Linked DNA regions of Sus scrofa. The protein of the gene in region 2 interacts with the protein of the main gene of each other region in a biochemical or structural test. Links are inferred from orthologs where the notes say so. Each region holds a gene or a part of one and is shown on either strand. Other genes may lie near its edges.

Evidence for each region. The genes of interacting proteins can lie anywhere in the genome.
Region 1: the proteins of SLC9A3R2 (region 2) and PTH1R interact in a test that uses a peptide from one of them, tested with the Homo sapiens proteins (2 studies listed by BioGRID and IntAct, with this or other methods). The link is inferred for Sus scrofa from reciprocal best matches to the Homo sapiens genes NHERF2 and PTH1R.

What each region holds. Positions count from the first base shown.
Region 1 is NC_010455.5:29,745,311-29,755,952, reverse strand, and holds the start of PTH1R (parathyroid hormone/parathyroid hormone-related peptide receptor precursor), read right to left. Parts: upstream 6,014-10,642; 5' UTR 5,925-6,013; intron 1,367-5,924; 5' UTR 1,319-1,366; coding exon 1,244-1,318; intron 1-1,243.
Region 2 is NC_010445.4:39,939,745-39,949,950, reverse strand, and holds the end of SLC9A3R2 (Na(+)/H(+) exchange regulatory cofactor NHE-RF2), read left to right. Parts: intron 1-1,866; exon of another isoform or gene 1,867-2,243; coding exon of another isoform or gene 2,244-2,729; intron 2,730-5,080; coding exon 5,081-5,260; intron 5,261-5,579; coding exon 5,580-5,733; intron 5,734-5,807; coding exon 5,808-5,851; intron 5,852-6,189; coding exon 6,190-6,252; intron 6,253-6,486; coding exon 6,487-6,645; 3' UTR 6,646-7,580; downstream 7,581-10,206. Other genes in the region: NTHL1 (endonuclease III-like protein 1), read right to left, coding at 8,338-8,461, 8,536-8,641.

The sequences.
Region 1 (10,642 bases), on a different chromosome or scaffold from region 2:
AACAGAGGAGAGAATCTTGGACCAGGAGATTCTTAGGCAAATGTTTCTTTCTTGGTGTCTTTTTACAGATAGGGAAACTGAGGAGTAGAGAAGCATAGCCCAAGGTTACACAGGCATTAGGCAGAGCTGGAGGAATCTAAGAGTTCCCTGCCTGCCAGCCCGGGGCTCTGCCTGGATAGGGTGCTGGTCAGGAGAAGGCTGCCTGCCTGTCTTTCTAGAAGGCAAATAACCCCCACCTGGGAGATGAGGGGGAGGCAGCAGGGGCCTTGAAGTCAGACACACAGGCAGACAGCCTCCTCAGCAATGGCTTGTCCCCTGGGACAGGCATGCTGTGGGTTCTGACTGACTCTTCAGGAGATGGCCTCCAGACCCTGGCCCAGGATGAGGAGGGTGCGGCCCCTTAGAGCCTCCAGCTCTTGGACTCTGCCAGTCTCCCCTATTTTTCTTTGCTGTTCTTGGTCTGTCTACTCCTGGGGAGCTTCCATCCCCACCCCCTTTGTCTCTCTCTTCTTTCTCTAGCCTTATCTCCCATTCTGTCTCTTCTCCCTCTTAGCCTCTGCTCTCAGGAGAGTACAAATGGGGGTCCCCTCACTCAGTGGAGTGCCCTTCTAGCATGTTTCTCCTGTAGGAGTGTTCTATGAGGTCAGTCTCCTTCATGGGACCTCCATCTCTCCTCCATGCCACACCACACCCGACTCCCAGGGCAGACATCTTTCAGTGTGGATGAAGCTGGGCATGTGTGCAAGCATGCGACGGTGAGACCTGGAGGGGTCCTTAAATCCTACCCCCTGACCTCAGACCCACAGCCCTGTGTCCCACATTGCAGTCGAAACTTGCGGAAAACAGAGGCCCCCAGAGCAAAGTCTGTGGGATCATACATCAGAGCCAAAGTCCAGTGTTCTGCTATATCACACTGTCATTTTCAAGGGAGACACAGAGCAGTGATGCTCACAGAAGCAGAAGATAGGAGAACCCTAACCACAGATTTCCAAAACTGGGACCCCAAACCTAACTTGCAGAAATAGGGAGACCTTAGGCATCTGGAACCCAGACTGTAGACACCTCAGAAACAGCAGGCACCGAGAATCACGGGCCAGAGGGGACCCCTACCCAAAATTCAGATTACTGGGGGAACTCAAGCCTCTGACCCTGGGGACCGCACCCCCCCTCCCCCGGGGCCCCCATCCCCCGGGACCCCAGAGCAAGCCAGAAGCCTGTTCAGGAGTGCGAGCTGGGGACTTACCAGCGCGTATGCCGAGCTGAGCACCGGACAGCAGAGCAGGAGCGCCAGGCCGGGCGCGATCCGGGCGGCCCCCATTGCCACCGCCTAGGGCCCCGTCCCTCGGGGTTGCAGCCGCCGCCGGCCCTGGTGGTGGTGGTGGTGGTGGTGGTGGGGTACAGAGCTGCCTCAGGCAGGGCTGCCCCGCCCACGTTAGGGCCTAGGGGACCCCGGAGGCCCGGCGGCCCGAGGCCCCGGGGCCCGGCGCGGGGCCCATGCGCCGAGGGCTAGCGAACGAGAGAGCGCAAGGGAGAGGGAGGGAGGGAGGAAGGGAGGCAGCCCGGGGCCAGGCGGGCGGCGGGCGGGCGCCGAGAGCTGCGGAGCTGCCCGTCTGCCTCGGAGCGGAGAAATCACATCCATATGGCCGGGCCCCCCGCCCCCGGCCCGCCCCCCGCCCCCCCTCCCGCGCCCCCCCTTCCGCGCCGCCTTTTCTTTCTCTCTCTCTTTTTCTTTTGGGGAACTAGGAGCTGTGGCTTTGCCCCACGCCCAGTGGGGGTGGGGTCGGGGGAGGGGTTGGGGTCGCGGTCTGCTGGGGGCTCACGGGGCTGTTATTTTTAGCTCCGCGGCTAGCACAAGTAGGGGGACCGAGCGGGGCGGGGGGCACGTTTTGCGCCTCTTGGGGCGTGCAGCTTGGGTACGCGATCCCAACTTTGCAACGACACTGAGCCCTTTGGTGATCCGGCCGCCAGCTCCGTGCCCCTCTGGTCCCTCTGATCCCCATCCCGTCCGCGGCCGCCTACAACACTCCAGCCCCATCCTCCGCCGGAGCCCCGCCTGCGCCCGTGCCGCTAGAGCGCGCCTGCGGCCGGGACGCTCGGTCAGTCTGCCTGTCTGTCAGTCCGTCTCTGGCTCCCCCGGCCTTGGCCTCCGTTCTTCCAGCAGCCCCGAGCTCCGTTTCGGTCACTCCCTCGCTCCCTCCCTCCCCTCCCCCTTTTCTCTCTACGAAAACATTTGCAAGTTTCCAAAAAAGCCACTGAGCCGAGCGGCGCGGGGCTGGCGGCTCCACCGGGTCCGAGGAGGCGCCGCCGAGTGACACCGAGACAGACCAGTCCCTCCGCCCGGATCAGGCCCGGAGTCACCCTACTCAACTCCGGCCCCCCTCCCCTCGGTGCCAGCCCCCAACCCCGACTTACTCCGAGCGCGCCGCCGCGGCCCCCGCCTAGCCATGGATGTCGGGGACCCCCCGACAGCCTCCCCAGGACAGCGCCCCGTCCGCGGCCCCAGGGGAACTTCATGGAGCTCTCGGGATCCCCCCTGGCCGGCCTGGTCTCCAGCGCCCCCCGCCCGGCCCGCTCTCAGAGCCGCCGCCCGCCGCGCGCGTCCCTCGCCTCGGCGTCTGCCGCTCCCCCTCCCCCCTCGGCTCGGGCGCCTCTTCCCTCCCCCGCGCCCTCCCTGGGCCTCTCCCGCCCCCGCCCCCCCACCCGGTCGCCTCCGACACGGGTGTGTGGAGCCGCAGAGCGGAGCTCGCTGCCCCCTGCCCCGGGACATTTCTCTAGAGGCCGCGGCCGGAGGTTGCACAGCGGCGGGATGTGAGTGTGGAGGGGACGGGGCCGGGGAGCTCTGACATCGGGGTCCGGGAACATAGCCCGGGCCGCTGCTGCCGCTTCGTTCTCCTCTCCGGGAAGGCACAGACGTTATTTTTTTCTGATCGTCCGGCCACGGCCGGTGAATAGCGGCCTTTAGCCTCAAAGCAGGCCCTCTTCACGGGAGGTACCCCGCCCGCCCGCGGGATCCGTCGGCCCGTGGGACTCCCGCTCAGCCTGGACCAAGATCCCTGGGGAGCCTGCTCTGCCGCCGGCCCTGAGCCTGACTCCGCCGCGGCTCTCCCGGCCGCCCCGCCTTCGCCTGGACCCCCACTCTCAGGAACCTCCCGAGTGGGTCGGTGTGCAGTGCCCTAGACCCGCCCCTGTCCCTGCCTGCGTCTCTGGCCTCACGCCCCGCTCCCTCCCTCCCCAGTCTCTGGGTCTGGGTCTCTCGGAGTCTGGACCCATCCAGACTTGGGGCCCTGCCTCTCTAGCTCCTCCTCTTGACTCCACCCCTGGCTGCTTGAGGCCGCAAGACCCCTTACTAAGCCCGGACCCCACCCTGGGGTTCTGCCTCCCTCTCCCACCCCTTCACACCCGCCAAAGCTCTTGGCTGGTTCTGGTCCACTGGGGACTCTCAACTTGGGGGAAGGGCGAAAGGAGACTTTGGGGCAGGGGCCAGACGGAGGTGGAGCTTATGTTCTCCCGCCTGGAAGGGGACGCTCAGAGGAGGGGGCCTTGGACGGACACCAAGCAGTATCAAGCCGGAAGCTGAGGTGCAGAGAGGGCCTGTAGGTGCACGGAGCAGAGGGCTTTAAGGAGGGTCAGGTGAAAGCTAATGTGACTGGGAAATATCCAGGTTAAGTGGCAACCCCAGCTCATCCACTTACCAATTGTGTATCCTGGACACAAGACTCCCTGCTGTCTGAGCTTCAGTTTCCTCATCTGTAAAATGGGGAGCTGACCAGCTCTTTCAAAGGGCACTTTTAACCTTACCATTTTAGTGCCTTCAAGGGTGGTTATCCCTCTGGGTTCCCCAGAGACCCCTGTGCTCTGAGGGCCCTTCAAGCTCAGCCTGTGGAAATTGAGCTCCTTAGAGCCCCAGACCAGTCCTCCATCTCTGGGATGGCCCCTCTCTTCAGTGTCAATGAGTGCCCAAATCCAAGCCCTAAGGCCACTGGAATCCAGCTGCATCCGGCTCTCTGGGGAACCCTCCCTCCCTCTGCTCAAACCTACCTGTCTCCCAGACTGTACCCATCTGTCTTCTCCCTATATTTCTATGGCCATACTCTCTTCAAGTTTATGGTCCTGGTATTTAAGGATTGTGCTGTTTGAGGAAGTTTCTTCCCAAAGTGACTCTCTCCAATGAGTACCGTTCACTAGATTCCTGTCCTTCTCTCCATATTCACTTTTCTGCCTTTGCCTTTGTAGTTTCCTCAGCTAGGATCATACTCCTCTGCCTGGTGTAGAGGATGTCCCTCCCGTCTTGTGTCTCCGTTTCATCCATTACTGGGGGGCAGCTGTGGTTTGGGGGCTGCTTCCCATGGTGTGTGGGCTCTTAGGGAACAGGGACAGAGCTCAGGTGCTCAGAACAGGCAAGTAAAGAACAGACGTGTTTCTTCAGCTTTTGTATCTGTCTCTAAGCAATTTGATTCTAATTTTTATAATTTGACAACCACTAACAACCCTACACCCCTTGATAATAGGAAAAGAACATTCATGGACAGATTGGAGGAACTGAGAGGTAAAACTAGGGGCTGATGGGGGGGGTCCTTCTCAGATCTGACACCCAGAAAACTTGAGATTGAGAAACAAACAATATTTGTGTTTAGGAAGATCAGGGTGGGCTGTAGATTGGGCTGCAGAGAGGGATCTAATGGGCTGTTCCCCTAACCATAGCTCACATGCCTCACTCCTCCACCACTGTGGGTGGGGCCGTTGACCCCCTAACTCACCCCCAGGCCTCTGGTTAAAGTGCTACCATGGTGGTGGTGGGGGTGTGTGTCACACATTAACTGGTAGCACCCCAGTGCCTGGCAGAGCACAGCCCACCCTTTTTGACAGGCAGGCCCCAGAGCCCCAGGGTCTGTTTCTGGTCAGTTTCAGGTCAGTTTCAATGGCATTTGGAAAGTCATGGTTGGGGGTAGGGAATGGGAGTCCCTGTGGGGACTCCCCTCTTTGATCCCCAAGCTGGGGCCTAGAGGGAGGAACCAAGGCTGTCATTGGAGCTCAGAACCAGAGCAGGGTGGGGGTGGGGTAGGGTGGGGGACTTAACTCTGTTGCAGCAGTCCTAAGCTGACAGACCTCTGCTGCTGGCACTGCCATCACCGGTAGAGCTCTGGCCAAGGTACACAGACCCTGATGCCTGGGTGGGGACCAGATTCTAACAGGAAAGACAGGCTTTCTGAGCCCAGCAGCGTGGCCCCACTCCCTCAGAAAACCCCTTTCCCTAACCTGGAGGCTCTCTGGGAATACTGGCCTGATTACTCCCACACTTCATCCCCTCACCCATAACCCCGAAGTCAGCTTGAATCCTAATCTCAGCCCTGATCCCAGACTGAGCTTTACCCCCAGGCTGAGTCCTTATCCCGGTCTGACCTCTAACCTCTGGCTGAACCCTGACCCCAGGCTGAGCCTCCACCAAGCCTCAGCCCCAGACCTCTTTCCAGGTTTGTAGGCCCTTCTGGAAGCTTTTCAAGGCAAGGGGCTGGTGGGGAGGGGATGGCCAGGCCATAAGTGAACCGAGGTGCCACTTTTACAGCCATTTCGGCTGCTCATAAACACCCCCCACCCGGATGAGTCATTGGAGGCTCCCAGGCAGCCTGTCAAGCAGCCCCCTCCCCTTACAGCAGGAAGCCTGGCTTTCTCACTTCTCAGGAAGGGGCTGGGTTGCCCTGTCCCAAGCAGGAAGCACTCGTGGGGCAGGTGACTGGGGGTACAGGATCCCTATCCCTTCTCATCACATAGTCACAGCCTCCCTGCTGCGGTAACACCAGCTCCATAGTTATCTCCTGGCAGGCATACTTTGGTTGCCCCACAGGCACAGATACACACACTAACCCAGCATGGTGCCCCAACCTTGTCCCTCACTGCATCCGGTTCCCAGGGCTAGACCCACTCACCTGGAGCCCACAAGACCTTCCAAGTAGGGTTTGGAGTCACAGAGGAGACTCAAATTGGCCATGGGGAGGCCATGGATAGCCCTGAGAGGCTTCTGTGGTTCAGGCCTAAGCCAGGATATTGCTGTTTGGGACAGGAAAAGGCCTGAGTCAAAGTTTCACTTGAAAAGAAAAATTAATTATTTTTTACCAAGCCATGTACCAGCCCAGGACTTTGTCCTAGACCCCTGGTCAGGGAGCAGAGGCAGGTCCAAACATACCAGTGTTCAGGTGCTCTGGGTTAGGCCCTCCCTGCCACTGTCCATGGGTTTGCCTGCCAGGCATCCAGGCCAGCTCAGCCCCTCAGGTGTTTGTGTGCCTCAGTAGTCCTCTCCCTGCTCTGCCAACCCTTTCTCCAACTAGCTTACTGTCTGTTTCTGTGTCTCTGCCTGCCCCTTCTAGCCTTTTCCATAGCCCAGAAATTTCAGGCCACCATGAGTTATAAGCACAGCCCCTATGAGTGACTTCATTCAGATTTTGGGCCTTTGTAAAAATCGGGTGGAGGCTGAGGGTAGTTCATACCCAGGTCACAAGCAGAGGACTGAGGCTGAGAAGGTCTGCCCTCTAAGCACTGGCTACCCAGTGTCCCCCAGCTAAGAGAGACGTGGGGACCCTTGCTCTACCCAGCCCTTGTCCTGATCCCTGCAGACCCACAGCCCACCCTATATCTGACTCCTTCCCCACTGAAAATGGACTTCAGGTCTGAAACCAGCCAGCAAGCTTCATGGGCTGCCCCCCTACCACATATACCCCACCAAGTACTAGGTAGGCTCAGGGCCTGCTTAGGTAGTTATAGGTCACAGAGGCAGGGGGTTGTGGACAGGATGACCTCCCTCTGTGGCTCTGTGGAATGAGCTATAGCAGAATCAGTGCTGGACTTGGACACTGAGGGTGAGGACATGCGCAGACAGGATGGAAGAGACTATGCAAGATTCTGGACCCTCACCTCAGGGCCCAGAGAGCCTGATTGAAGACTGCCCTTCTGCCTGAGCCCAGTCTGAGCTGGTTTGAGTCTGGAAGTCCCAGGCTCAGCCTGACGAGGTGTAATGATTCACGTGGCAGCTGCTGCTCCACGCATTCCAGCCACAGCCCCCAGTGCTTGGCATGTGAGGCGGCTGGCCCGGAACCACCCCCAGCCACTGGGTCACGTTCTTAGGGCCCCCATCCCTAGGGGCGACCTCTCCTCAGGTCTTCCAGGATCCTGGGGAGAACACTTTATAGTTTCCAAAGTACTTTCTAGTTCAGAAGCTGGAAAGAGAGGCAGGGAACTTGTCAATACCTGGCCTCCAGGTAGGGAAAATGAGGCTTAGAGGGTAGACTGGGCTGCCCAGGGGCTCATAATGAGATTATGACAAACAGTACTTGCAGGGCTCCTGCCCCTGGCCTGAGCTGTTTCCAAGTGTCTGGCTCCAGTGGGGTATCTCAGGGCACGTAGGCCGTTCTGTGACCAGGGCCAGTGTGTGTGGAGGGGGTCGGGGCAGATTTCAGCTTTACAGGTCACTGGGCAGCTGTGTCCAAGAGGGTAGACCTCCTTTGCCCTCTGTCAAGCTTCCCACTGCCCTGAGCCTCCACCCATGGAGCCTCTCCCTCCTCTGAGCCCACTTACACCCCTGACTCCCATCCTCACTGCCACGGAAGTCAAAGGCTGGGGCTTAGTGCCTGTTCTGCCCTGCCCTGTGCATCTCTTTCCTGTTTGTGGCCTCGGTTTCCTGATATGTTATTAACACGGGCAATTCAAGACTTGAAGGGGCTCCATAAAATGACCGAGTGCTTGGGTCCTGGGCATACCTGTGAATCTGAAAACCTGAGGTCCTCTCTCCCCTAGAGCCTTGGGGGCTGCCTGTGCCGGCCAGGCTGTGTTCCTCCAGTGGGCCCCAGCTTAGGGCTCTGAGGGGTGAGTCTTGCCCTCAGCTCCGGGGACAGGAAGTCGTATTTTGGTCCTGGGTCCTGAGGAAGGAGGCAGGGGGAGAATGGCAGCTCAGACCCAGTCATGTTTACCTGGGCCCAGCCCCCTCTGAGCTCAACAGACCCATTCATTGGGAGCCCCATAAACCCTTTGGGGCTCCCTGAGGTTCAGAGTGCCTGGACGCCAGGCCTGGCTGCCACCCCCAGACCTTCTGGGGGCCATGGGCAGCAGGTAGGGCATGAGTGAGGCAGAACTAGGGATGGCTGTGGGAGCCTCAGACATGCCTCAGCTTCCCGATCTTTGCATTGGAACAACAATTCCTGCACGTGCAGTTGGGAAAATCAAAGGGGTCTTCCTGGCTGTGTTCCCTCAGAGAAGGCTCCTGAGAGCATATCCTCAAAGCATAATGGCCTTCAAGGCAACCCTGGAATCAGAGCTGACCTCCTTGTGAAGACCCCACACCTGGCCTTGGGTTGTCCACAAGCCACACCTTGGCAAGATGTGCATGAGTGTGCAGCCCTTTAGAGTGGAGGGAGTCCCTTGTCCTCTCTAGTGCTCTCTTCTCATCTCTTCAAAGGCACATCTTCATCAGAAGTAGAAACTTGGGGACTGGATGGGTTGTTGAGAGATGAGGGCCTAGTGTCTGCTCACCGTCAACTGAGGAGGGCTGACTTATATCAGGGTACCCTCTACGCTGTCTGCAGTCCCCTGACTCGGCTTAATTGGGTGGCGTAAGCTATCATCCTGTGGTCCCTCAAAATGAAGGGGATGCAGCAGCAACATTTGGTGAAAAGAACTGTGGGCCAGGGGTCTGAATGCTACATAGCTCCTGTGTGCCTTGGAATAATCCCTTCTTCCCCCTGGTCTTGTGCCCCGACTGCTGACAGGGGTTAGAGGGGACTCCATCCAAAACTCCTCTCACCCCTGGGGTTCTCATGCAGGGCAGGGAGTGAGAGGATAGAAGCAAGACCTCCCACCCAAGACCCCTTTCAGCAGCGCCCCTGCGTGCCCCAGACCATCTGGAAAACTGCTCAGGGACCCTGGTTGGGGGCAAGAGCGGAGTCTCCTTTCCCAGACACCTTCCGGGTGGGGTGTGACTTCCCGCTCCAGTGGTTGTAAAATCCCCTGAAGCCTGGTGGGTCCCTAGTGGGGGGTCGTGTGTGCCTCGGAATACCCCCCTCCCAGGCGTGTTTGACACGTGTTTCCGCCTCTCCCGGCGTGGGCTCCTGCTGCTGCTATTTATAACCTTTAAGAGCTCCTGCCGACTGCAAAGTTTTCTTAAACTCAAAATATCACCGAGGTCCTGGGCACGCGTTCCAGAGGCTGGCTGGGCCCTGTGGTTTGAAGGGACGAGGGGGCCGGGAAAGAGGAAGGAGTGGGAAAGGGGTTAGTTCAGACACTGGATCCTGCCTGGGGTGGTGGTGGGGAGACTTGGGTGGGGGACCCCTAGTTCTTGACACTGGGTCTTGCTCAGCCTAGAGAGACCCTCTATGTGGGTGGTCCTTGTTCAGGCTGGGCCATTTGAGGACTGCTGGCCACCTCTCTGGGCCTCAGTTTCCTCTCATCCTGCATGCCTCAGGGCACGTTAGCTGGGTGAAGCAGTGATCTGGCAGTGATACTGGGAACGTCTCTGGCTGGGACCAGGGCTATGTCTGCTTGGCTATCCAGCACCCGGCACAGAGCCTGTTCCAGAGGCCTGGTGGACATTGGCTGAACTGGCCAGAAGGAGAAGTACTTTGGGGAAGTTTATAAAACTGCCTTTGGGAGAGCAACATTCAGAGAGGGTCAATGGCATGCCAGAAGTCGCTCAGCTCATCCAGACTAGATCCTTAGTCCTTCCCAACATCCAGAGTCTTCTGAGGCCGTGCAAGAAGCCGAAAGGCTTCAACTTGGGACAGGTGGGTCCCAACCTTGGAGGAGGTTCCAGGAGTAACAGAAGAATGGCTCTGCATAGCTCAGAGACCTCCCTGGAGCTAGAGGAGACACTGGTCACCACCTGGCCCTGGGGAGGGCAGGATGCAGCCAAAATCACACTCACAGCTCCTACTTGTCCTGGGCCACTGCTCCATTTCTGGAGCCCCTCTGCCTCCTCAGGAGTGAAGGAAAAGCTCCAGCCCCGTTGCAAGCAAGGGCCCTGACAACTGTGGACTCATGCCCTCTACAGGGAGGCTGGCGGTTTAGCCTCCCCCACTTCTGCTGCACCCCCTTCCTTCCCTGCCTTCCTGATCTGGTGTGGGGGTGCAGAGGCAGGGAACATGAGTGCTCTGGGCCACGCAGCGTATCCTGCACCCCTGCAACGCCCTCTGTCCCACAGCCGGCTCCGGAAACCATTTCTGGCCCAGGGAGCAGAGCTGGGTCCCAGATGGAAGGGTGGCCACCCCTGCCCTCCCACTCAGTGCTCCACATACATCTTCCAATTTAAGCATAACCACAGAGGGCCATTTGGGGGCAGAGGGGGGCGAGGAAGTGATGACCTAGCAGAGAGAGTGAAGAGGGATGACAGAGAAAGGAAAGTGTTCTGGAAAGACAGGCCTGATAGAGCTACTCCTTTGCTCAGATGCCTTTCTGTGACCCCCTGAATCAAACTGCTCCCCAAATGGTTGAGCACTTACTGTGTGCTGTGCTGGGCTCAGAGACTTGAAGGTCTTGCTTCTGGAAGCCAGTTCCCTGCAGGCCCCACTTCTCTGGGGTTCCCATTGCCTGAACCCCACTCAGTCTATGACCCTGCTCCTCACAGCCTCCCTTGCCCTCCCTTTCTTGGCTTGGAGGGGGATCT
Region 2 (10,206 bases):
CCTCTGGTCGTCTCCACCAGTGTGCGTCTCTGGACCCCTCCTGGACCCCTGGTGGCCACTCTCTCGGCCACTTGGAGCCACTCTTTCTGTCCTCGGCCTGTGTTCTAAACCGCATGGGCTCTGGGCAGCCTGGACCTGGTCCCTGGCCCCCAGGAGGCTCGTCATCGGAGCCCCTTGTCCTTGGAAGGGTCCCTTTGACCAGCCGCCCCCTCCCCGGCCTTGGGGCTGAGGAACCTGGGGAGGGGCTGCTGGCGTGTGCTCAGCTCTGTGCCTGTGGTGGGTGTCTGTCTGTCCAAGGAGCCTGCTTGTGCCATAAAGACTGGAGTGGGGGCGCTGGCCCTCCTCTGTGGGGGCAGCTGAGGAGACCCTCTGGGCTAGGTCCGCAGCCGGGGGCTCTACAGGCATTGGGGCGCTTCCCCTTCTCCCTATGTCCCCTCCAGACAGGAAGCCTTGCTGGGAAAGCACTGGGGTGGGGTCCAGGGGGCCTGTTCTGTCTCTTTCTCAGTAGCTGGGCCCGGGGGTGGCCCGACCCCTACCGGGACAGCATCTGGAGGTCAGGGGAAAGAGCTGCCTGCCCTGCCCCCACGACTTTTATTTTCTTAAAGAAGAAAATCCCTTAAAAGGGGACTCAAATCCAGGGGTTACCCAGATCCCCCTTGGAGAACCCCGGCCTAGGGCTCCTGGAGGTATGAATTCTGAACTTTCTGGGTGTGCGGGGGACCTGGACATCTGTCTTGTCCCTTTCCCCCATGCCTCCCGTGAACTGGGTCTTGTGGGGCCTCAGGCTTTTCCTGGGGGATGGGATTCGCAGCAGAAAGGCAGCCTGGGCATAGGCCTGGGCACAACCCCTGTGACCCCTGTTGTTTTCTGTGGCTGGAGGGCAGGCTCCTGGTAGTAGTCAAGGCCACGGGGCCAGGTCCTGGAGTCTGGACTTGGCCCTGGGGCCCCTGAAGGCCAGAGGAGGGCTGTCAGGGTCAGATCTGTGATTTCAGGGGGGCCCTGGGCCGGTGCACTGGCTGAGCCCACCTCGCAAGCTGGGGCTGGAGCGGCCCTCCTTCCCCGGGCACCTCAGCCCGGGAGGAAGCCCCCCACCCCCACCCCGGCGCTTGTCCATTGATTTAGACACAAAGCTGAGTTCACCTTCCTGTGGAAAAATCTGCCCGCGGGGCCTTATCTGGAGGGTGGGGGCACCTTGTCCTTGGGTGGGACCTTCCCCTCCACTATTTCAGGCTCTGGGGGCTGCAGGAAGCTGGGGGAGGGGTCTTCCTCTGGGCATATTTTTAGAGTAACAAAGTGGGACCCGCCTGGCAGGTCTCCTGGGGGTTGGGGCTTGCCCGGGCACAGGGACCCCAGAAGGTCAGGGGAGTCCCTGGGCACGGGGCTTCTCTTCTCCCTCCCAGACAGAAACCTGGACATTCATTGGCTGAGCTCAGAGCTTTAGCAGCAGGAGCTGGGCCTGCGCTGAGCTCCACAAACCAGGCTTAGCCCCCACCCCCCAACCCCTCTATCCCCCACCAGGCTTAGCCCCCAATCCACTGCCATCCCCACCCCTCCATCCCCCCTGCACAAACCAGGCTTAGCCCCCCACCCCTCCATCCCCCATCCCCCCTGCACAAACCAGGCTTAGCCCCCCACCCCCCACCCCTCCATCCCCCATCCCCCCTGCACAAACCAGGGTTAGCCCCCCACCCCCCACCCCTCCATCTCCCATCCTTCCTCCACAAACCAGGCTTGGCTGCCCCCCCACCACTGTGGGCTGTCAGGGATTCTGGGAGGATGGGGCTTCCTTGTAGAGCTGTGCCCCGAAGGGTGACAGCCCTGGGACAGGAGAGCTGGGGGGGTTGCTTTAGTGCAGGGTGAAGGGCCACCCTCTGTGCCCTGGAGGGATGGGCTGAGGTGGGTGCCAGGGCCCTGTGGGTCCCTCTGGCCCTCTCAGCCTCAGTCTCCTCCTGTCCTGGGCAGGGGGAGGTGGGGCAGGCAGGGGACATGGATGTGGCTGGCCCCTCCCTTTGGGGCCTGTCAGGGACTCATCAGTGGTGACTCAGCCTGGGGTTCACACTGGGCTGGGGTGGCTGCAGCTGCAATGCAGCTGATCCTGACAGTGACAACTGCGACCCGCCCCCAAACACAGCCGGGGCTGCGGGGGTGTGAGGGACCCAGGCCCTCCAGTGCTGCGGCTCCGGGGCTGAGAGTGGTTGAGGTGACAGCGTCCTGCGGACAGTGACTGCCTGGTATAGGACCTGATGCCTACGAGAGGGCTTTCTGGGCTCCCCGGTTTCTGTGCCCCGTCTCCCCATGAGCTGCAGCGGGGCTGTCTTATGTTTGGGGGCCAGGGTCTCCTATCTGCCGCCTTGTCCCCCCAGCCCTGGGTCCTGGGAGCAGGGCAGGGCCTCCTAGCAGTTTCCTTCCTTCCTTTCTTGGGACGGAAACCAGGCCAGTGCAGGGCGCCGGGCTGGAGCTTGAGCAGGGGAGGGGGCCTCAGCCACCACCCTGTTCTCCAAGGTGACTCAGCCTTAGGTCCCCACCCGTCCCTGGGGAGCCTGGGCCACGGTGGGAGGTGGATAAATGGGGTGGCCGCCTGGGCTGGCCAGAGAGCTCAGGCCACTGCAGCTGGACGCAGGTCGCCTGCCACTTCTGTCCCGCCTCCCATGGCCCGCTCTGGGACTGCCACGCCGCCCGCCCCAGCCCCGGGAGCCCCTCCACAGGGCCCAGCTCAGGGGCTTGTGCAGGTCAGGTGGGGTGGGGGCCGGGTGGGCAGTGAGGACACCAGCAGCCAGCCTGTGTCCCTCAGGCTTGGGAGAGGGGACTCTGGGGACACTGGTGGACCTCGGGCCCAGTTGCAGGCTGGACCCGGAGCAACAATGGGAGCCTTTCTCTGCTCGGGCTGGTGAGTCACCATGTGTGTGTGTGGGGGCACAGCCTGTCTCCGGGGGTACCCCCACCATCTGGGGGTGCCAGCCTCTTTGTCTGGTCCCAGGCATGGCTGGGAGACCAGGGTTTGTCCAGCTCTGGGCCTGCGTGGCTGGGAACGGGGTCTGGGAGCCCAAGGGCCTTGCTGGGAGGTGGTAGGAAGTGCTCTGAGCCAGGGCGGGAGCCAGGAATGTGAGCAATGCTGGGCCAGGCTGGCCCCCTCCAGGCCCAAGGCTCTGGCCTCCTCGCTGGGCCTCCCTGCCAGGGTCGGCCCCCACCCCGACGGCATTGCAGCCCCTCAGCCTGAGGGTCTAGTCCGAGCACTCCTTGGACCCTGACCCTAATGAGAGAGGTCTGGGCCGATGTTGGAAGAACCCCCCACCGGGCTGTGTGGGGAGAGGCGGAATGCCGGGTTGAGGCAGGGAGACGGTTTCAAACTGGATGTGACTTCATGTGGCCTGGCCTCGTGGCCCCGGATGCCCCCCCATCCTGCTTCCCGTTTGGGGGCCTTGAGAGGCCACGCCCTGGAACCACTGTGGAGGGCGTGGGAAGAGGCCACAGGGCTGGTGCTGAGGGCTGGCCTTTCACACGGCTGGTCACTGCGGGTCTGTGTGCAGCCTGTTTGTGAGCGTGTGTTTGCAGAATGGTCCCTGGGACCCTGCGATGTGCCTTGGCCCCCAGGCCCTTGTCCACACGCCAGGCGTGGCGTTGCCACACATCCACCGTCTCTCACGGCCTGGCTCTGCTCCGTCAGACCAGCAGCCCTGGGACCTGTGCTCTGACAGCCCGGACCCAAGAGGGGCCGCAGAGCCGCACCCCTGTGCTTCCAGGCGTGTCTGGGCATGAGTGGGTCGCTGAGGTGCCAGAGAAGCCAGGCTCTCACAGTTCAGCCCATGTCCCCTGGCTGAAGCCTTGGGGGACCGAGGCACCATGCCTGGTTCCTGGAGTTGCTGGGGTTGAAGGGCACATGGTGGCCCGCAGTGGGGTTTCTGAGGGGACAGGCTTTGGGGTCAGGGAAGGGGTCCCGGAGGAGGGTCACAGGCTGGACTGGCAGAGGGTGTCCCCCACAGGTGGGAAGGCCCGGGGACCAGGGCGAGGCAGTCCCTTGTGAGAAAGATGCTGTCAGATGGGGGCTTTGGGCTCCGAGGCCTGGAGGGGGTCCTCCCTCAGCGCCACCGCCAGCCGGCCCAGGGTCCCCCCACACAGGGAGGCGTGGGGAAAGGGCCCTGGTGAGCACCCCCAGCCCACCCCACTCCGCCCGGTGCTGTTCACCTGCCGGCTCCCTGCTCGGAAACCTGAGCTCCCGGCCGCCCGGCCGCCGCCATATTGGGCTGACACCTGCTCCGTGCAGGGGTCGCTGCCTTGGGCCGTGGCCGGGTGGGCCTCCTGGGCCTGGGCCCCTGCCTGCGCGCCCCCACCCCGCACCCCCGGCCCGGAACCCTCCTGCACGATGCCAGAGGTAAAGCGAGGCAGGGCCCTGGGGGGTCGAGGGCCTTCCCAGGGGAGCAGGAAGGTGGGAGGCAGGCCCCGCCCTCGCTCCCCTCTCATCCCCGGTGCCTGTGCCTGTCTGTCGTCGAGGCTAGGCGGGGGTGGCTCCTGCTGGCGCTGGAATGTGAAAGCAAACACAGCCCGCCTGCTACCAGCCCTGTGGAGACCTTTGGGAGAGTAAACAAAACTGCCTGCCTGCTGGAGCCAGCCCCACACTTCCGGATGGGGTTGCGGCGGGAGGGGGGGGGGGAGTGTGACAGCAGGCAGGGCCCATGGGGACAGCCCTCCCGGAACACTGATGAGCGGTGGCTCGTCTCACCTGGTCTCTCCGAGGACCCGGGTCTGTCCTCAGCCCTGTCCTTGAGCCAGCCGATTCTCCCAACACCCCTGGAAGGTCCCTGACCCCCTTGTGGGTCCTTTGGGGTTTGGAAGCTAAGGCTTCGTCCAGGACCCCGAAGCTGCATCGTCACAGGCAGCCTAAGAGGTCCCCCTGCCGCCCCAGGCATGGGTGTGGTGCTGTAGGCCCCTGAGACCAGGGCTGCCAGTCAGGTAGGGGCACGATGCTGAATGTGGGGTGGCTTCTCTCCAGCCGCCTCCACTGCTGCGTTCACAATTGGTGTCAGCTCCTCCAGGGGTGGGAGGTAAGGCCTGGAGCCTCATCCCACATCCCCTGTGCCTGCAGGATGTCAACGGGCCCCTGAGGGAGCTGCGCCCAAGGCTCTGCCACCTGCGAAAAGGCCCCCAGGGTTACGGGTTTAACCTGCACAGCGACAAGTCCCGGCCTGGACAGTACATCCGCTCCGTGGACCCAGGCTCACCTGCTGCCCACTCCGGCCTCCGAGCCCAGGACCGACTCATAGAGGTACCGCCATGGAGGCTTCGGGGTGCTGGCTGCCCTGTGTGCGCCTCTGTGCCTGGCCCCTTCTGTTTGTGTCTGGGCCCACGGCCCCCCCATGTGTGTCCCCGCCGGGTCCTTCCCTGTCTGCGCAAACGTGTTCCGAGCCCCAGGTCCTCCCGGGAGGAGGGGAGATGCTGGGAACCTGAGCTGCTGCTTCTCTGGCTACCCTGGCTGGTGACAGCGTTGATGAATATTTGATGCCACACCTGGCCAGGTAGCCCGGGGGGCTGGTGGGGCCCTGCCCTGCCCTCAGGCAGCACTGACACCGTGCTGGCGGTGGCAGGTGAACGGGCAGAATGTGGAGGGGCTGCGGCACGCGGAGGTGGTTGCCTGCATCAAGGCGCGGGAGGACGAGGCCCGGCTGCTGGTGGTGGACCCCGAGACGGATGCGTACTTCAAGCGGCTGCGGGTCACACCCACCCAGGAGCACATGGAAGGTGGGTGGCCGCCCTGGGGGCCAGGGCTGGGGAGAAGCCTCGGGGGCAGAGCCATTGACACACTGTCCCCACAGGTCCACTGCCATCACCTGTCACCAATGGGACCAGCTCAGCCCAGGTGAGAGGGTGGGAGGGGACAGGGCTGGCCCAGGAGACCATACGGGGCACCTCTGGGAGTCCCCAGGCTTGACAGAGCCCCTCCCGGATCTGTCCTTGTGTAGGCGCGGTTGGGAGACCCTGTCCGGCCCAGTCACTCCAGCTCTAATACTCCTATGGGTCCCTTCCAGCTCAGCCACACCCTCGCCCAGGGTGGGGGTGGGGACAGGGGGCACCTACTGTGCCGAGTAGATGCTCCGTGGCCGCTGCCAAGTGGAGGAATAAATGCAGCTCTGCTGCTGTGTGTGGGGGCCCTCCCGGCCCCGGGCCCTAAAGCCACACCTTACCTTGGTTTCCCAGCTCAATGGTGGCTCCGTGTGCTCGTCCCGAAGTGACCTGCCCGGCTTAGACAAGGACACTGAGGTAGCTGGTGCCCCTCCACCTCCACTGCTGTGGTCCCTCCCTGGGGGGCCTGGAGCCTTGGGGGCGGGTGTCCCCGGAGCTGTCCGCCTGGGCGGTGAGGCCACCACCGCTGGGAAGCCCTCCTGAGCCTGCTGCCCGGTGGCCTCTGGTGTGCGTTCAGTGGGAAGGGTCACCCGGCTGGGGGCTTGGGTCCAGGGCTCACTCTGGCCACCTGGCCACCGTGTCCACCCCTAGGACAGCAGCACCTGGAAGCGTGACCCTTTCCAGGAGAGTGGCCTCCACCTGAGCCCCACGGCGGCTGAGGCCAAGGAGAAGGCGAGGGCCACCAGGGTCAACAAGCGGGCGCCACAGATGGACTGGAACCGGAAGCGTGAGATCTTCAGCAACTTCTGAGACCCCCCACCCTCCGCCGCAGCCGCCGCCTGGTCCCCAGCCGGGCCTCCTCTGGGCATGGACCTTGGGCCTTGCCCAGAGCGCCCCGAGCCTCAGTGGACTGCAGCGGGGGCACCTTCGCTCGCTAAGCCGTGGTGGTCCCACCACCCCCCATGAACCAGCCCGTGCCCCAGTGAGCCCCCGTCCTGCCCCCTTCCCACGGGGTGCTGGGGAGCGGGCAGAGGAAGCCCCTGAGACGGGAGGGACAGAGACACCCAGAGAGGTGGGCTGGGGAGGGGAGGCTGGGGTGACCCGCCAGGCCGGGCCCTTGCTGCTCTGCCTGGGCCTGCTGACTTAAAGGAATTTGTGTTTTGGCTTTTTTTCCAACACGAGCTCTGGCTCCACACATGTTTCCACTTAATACCAGAGCCCCCACCCCCATCCCCTCAGGACGTGCTCTCTAAATAATTGCAATAAAACAAACCTTTCTCTGCAAACCATTTCCTCCCACCTCCCTCAGCAGCAGCCTTCCCCGAGGGAGTCCCAGGGCCTTCCAGGGGCAGAGTTCTGGGGCCCCCAGGCCGTGTTCACGCAGGCTTCGGGGAGGCTAGGAGCCCCACGTGGCTATAAGAGCTAAGAGCTGCCTCGCTGCTCAGGCCCTGCCCTCCCTGGCGTGGGGGTTGGGTCGGGGGCAGGGCCTGGGTTCTTGGTGGGGCCCGAGATGGAGAACTTCGGCCCTGCCCGAGGAGGGCAGCCTGTAGACAGGCCCCTTGTCCCTGCACGGCAGCCCCCAGGAAGGTCCCCAAGCTCTTGGCTCGCCTGCCCTGAGCCGCCCCTGAAGATGCCCCACCGACTCCGCCTTCCTTCCTGCCCAGAACCAGACCGACCCGGCATCGCTGTCTGCCCTAAAAGCCATAGCGCATGCGCGCCCTCAGAATAAATAGGCCTTCCTTGTATCCTGGCTCTCTGTTCACCCTGAACTTTCATTGCAGGGGTTGGGGGTCATTTTCCTGGCAGGGAGGCAGCAGCCCGGCAGCTCCCCAAATCTCAGCTGGTGCACACGGAGACCGGGTCCTGAGCGGCCCCTCCCCCATTCCCTGTGCGGGGGAGGGGGGGGCAGCCCCACCCCTCAGCTCCTGCGCCCTCCTCAGCTCATGGGGACCCCGGTGCCTCAGGGCCTACCCCCTTTCACCAGCACCTCCTGGTGAAGGCTTCTGGGCCCCTGGCACCCCCAGCAGGTTCACACAGGTCCAGCCCCCTGCCCATGCTGCCCTGCTTGGGCCTGCTGGTGTCCCTTGGAGGCCAGGTGGCTCTGTAAACACCGGGGGTGGGGCCTCTTGGCACAGGCTGGGTTCTCCGGGTGCCCAAGTTCAGGCGGGTGTGTGTGTTCCCAGCGTCCCAGCGGTCTTCCCCACAGCTGGCTGCAGCTGGATCCCATGATTCCCCCCTCCCCCACCCCCACCCGCACTCAGCCCAGATTGTCACGTCCCCATCCCGGCCTCCCAGGCAGCCCGGTCCCAGACACACGTGAGCACCGGCGCACACACAGCTCACGCGTGTGCTTTCCAGCCAGCCCCCAGCCCCTAGGGGTAGAAATCAGCCAGACCCTGACTGCAAACACCCCCAAGCTTTATTACAAACAGGCTGCGAATCCCTAGCAGAGGCACATAACAGACGGTGGCCAGAGTGGCCCAGGGCAGAGGTTGCAAGCCTTCAGAGTCCCTGTGCAGCCGGGCACAGGGCCCGGTTGAGGCAGGCCTGGCAGCGGGGGCGGACGGGCAGGCAGGTCTGCTGGCCGAAGCCCACTAGCAGTCCATTGATCTCACTCCATAGCTCCCTGTGGGGGTGGGATCCATCAGTGTGGGGGTGAGGCTGAGGGAGGTGGGCCGCCCCGCCCCTACCCTGTGACACCTGGGCAGCCACTCCTCCAAGGCAGTGCGGGTCTTCTCAGGGGACTTGGTTGCCTTCTTGGTCCACTTGAGTCGGCCGGCGATTCTGTGTACGTGTGTGTCCACTGCTGCTCGGGGACCAGGCAAGCTGAACACGGGGCAGGCTCCCCCGCGCAGACTGCCCCCTCCCTGCCCGCAGCTCCGGGCCAGGAGTCTCCCTGGCCCTCCTCCCTCCCCCGCTTCTGAGGAGGAGCCAGGATGGGTGCATGGGCCACCCCTGCTGCTGGGCAGGGGCTGAAGCCAGACCCAGAGGACTAGGACTTCTCCTTGGGGTACAGGCAGCGGTGCCTTCTGGCCCAGGTGCTGGCTGTGGGTGCCAGGCTGGATGGCACTAGCTGGGCCCAGTGGGCTGGCAGGAAGTCACTGCCACAGAGCCAGCACCTGTCCTTGCACAGTCAGGGACAGAGCGGGGACGAGGCCAGGCCAGCTGCAGGCACCGTCCACCTGGGCTGCACCCCCTGCGCACCCAGGCCCCCCTCCCAAACAGATGCAGTCCCTGCCTCCCCTCCTAAGTGTTGGCCAGCTTGGGCCGCACATCCCTGCACCAGCTCACCACCCCAGCTGCTCGCTGCCTTGAGAGAGAGACTCCCCACACGGCATGGGGAGCGCGTGCAGACTGAGAAGTCACACCTTTGGTCACCCAGCCTGCTTCTTTCTCTGAAACCCGGGGTGGGGAGGGGTGACCAAGCCCCTTAAGTTACCCAGAAGCCCAGCTTAGAGCCACAGCCAGGTGCGTGAGCTCCCGTGGCTGGTCTGGGGGCTCTGGGGCCCAGCTCCGAGAGGGCAAGTGCCCTGCCTGGGGTCCCCTCGCTGGGATGGCAGAGCTGGGATGGCTGCCGCATCCCACAGTTCTGGCTTTCTAACTGAGGGGGCTTCTTGGGAAAACTCCTGGGGAGGGGGCCCCCGCCCTCCCTGCGGTCTCCGCAGGTGGCCTGGCCCCTAGGCGATGAGACAGGACATTGGGAGGCTCCCTCCTGCTGTGTCCAGCTGTGGGCCGGGCCCCTCCCCCACAGCCCTGCCGCGCTCCCAGCCACGGGCAGCTGAGGACAGCTGAGGACAGCACCCAGATAAGCTCGAGTATCTGCCGAGAGGCCAGCAGCTGCGGGAGAGCCGGTCCCGGGAGACGGTGGGGAGGCTCTGGCCCGGCGCCGCCTGGCCCGGCTCCTGCTTTTTGGGGCTGCTGGGCTTCAGCCTCACTGGGTGGCCAGAGCCCCCTGTCGGGGGCAGTGCAGGCAGGGGGCCCCCACCCCAGGGGTGAGCTTCACAAGCCACGGAAGCACAGGGGGGTTGCCACGGCCCTTCCGGCGCGCCCCTGTGAGCCGCAGGCCGGGCCGCACGAAAAGGTCGTGGGTCAGGCCATGCTGCGCGGCCTTGGAAGCCCCAACTCTCTGGGCGAAGAACGGAGGAAACAGTCCCACCCCACCCCAGGGGTCTGTCTCCACTGGGAGGTCCTCCAATGCCAGGATGCGACCCTTGCACCCGGGGAGGGGGCTCTAGCAAGGGCCTCCCAGCCCCTTGCCTGCTGGGTCTGCACTGCCCCCCATCTGCCCTGCTTGTCCCAGAGCCTTGGGGCCTCTCCCACCGCAGGGCTTTGCAAATGCTTTTCCTTCTGTCTCAAATGCACTTCCTCCCC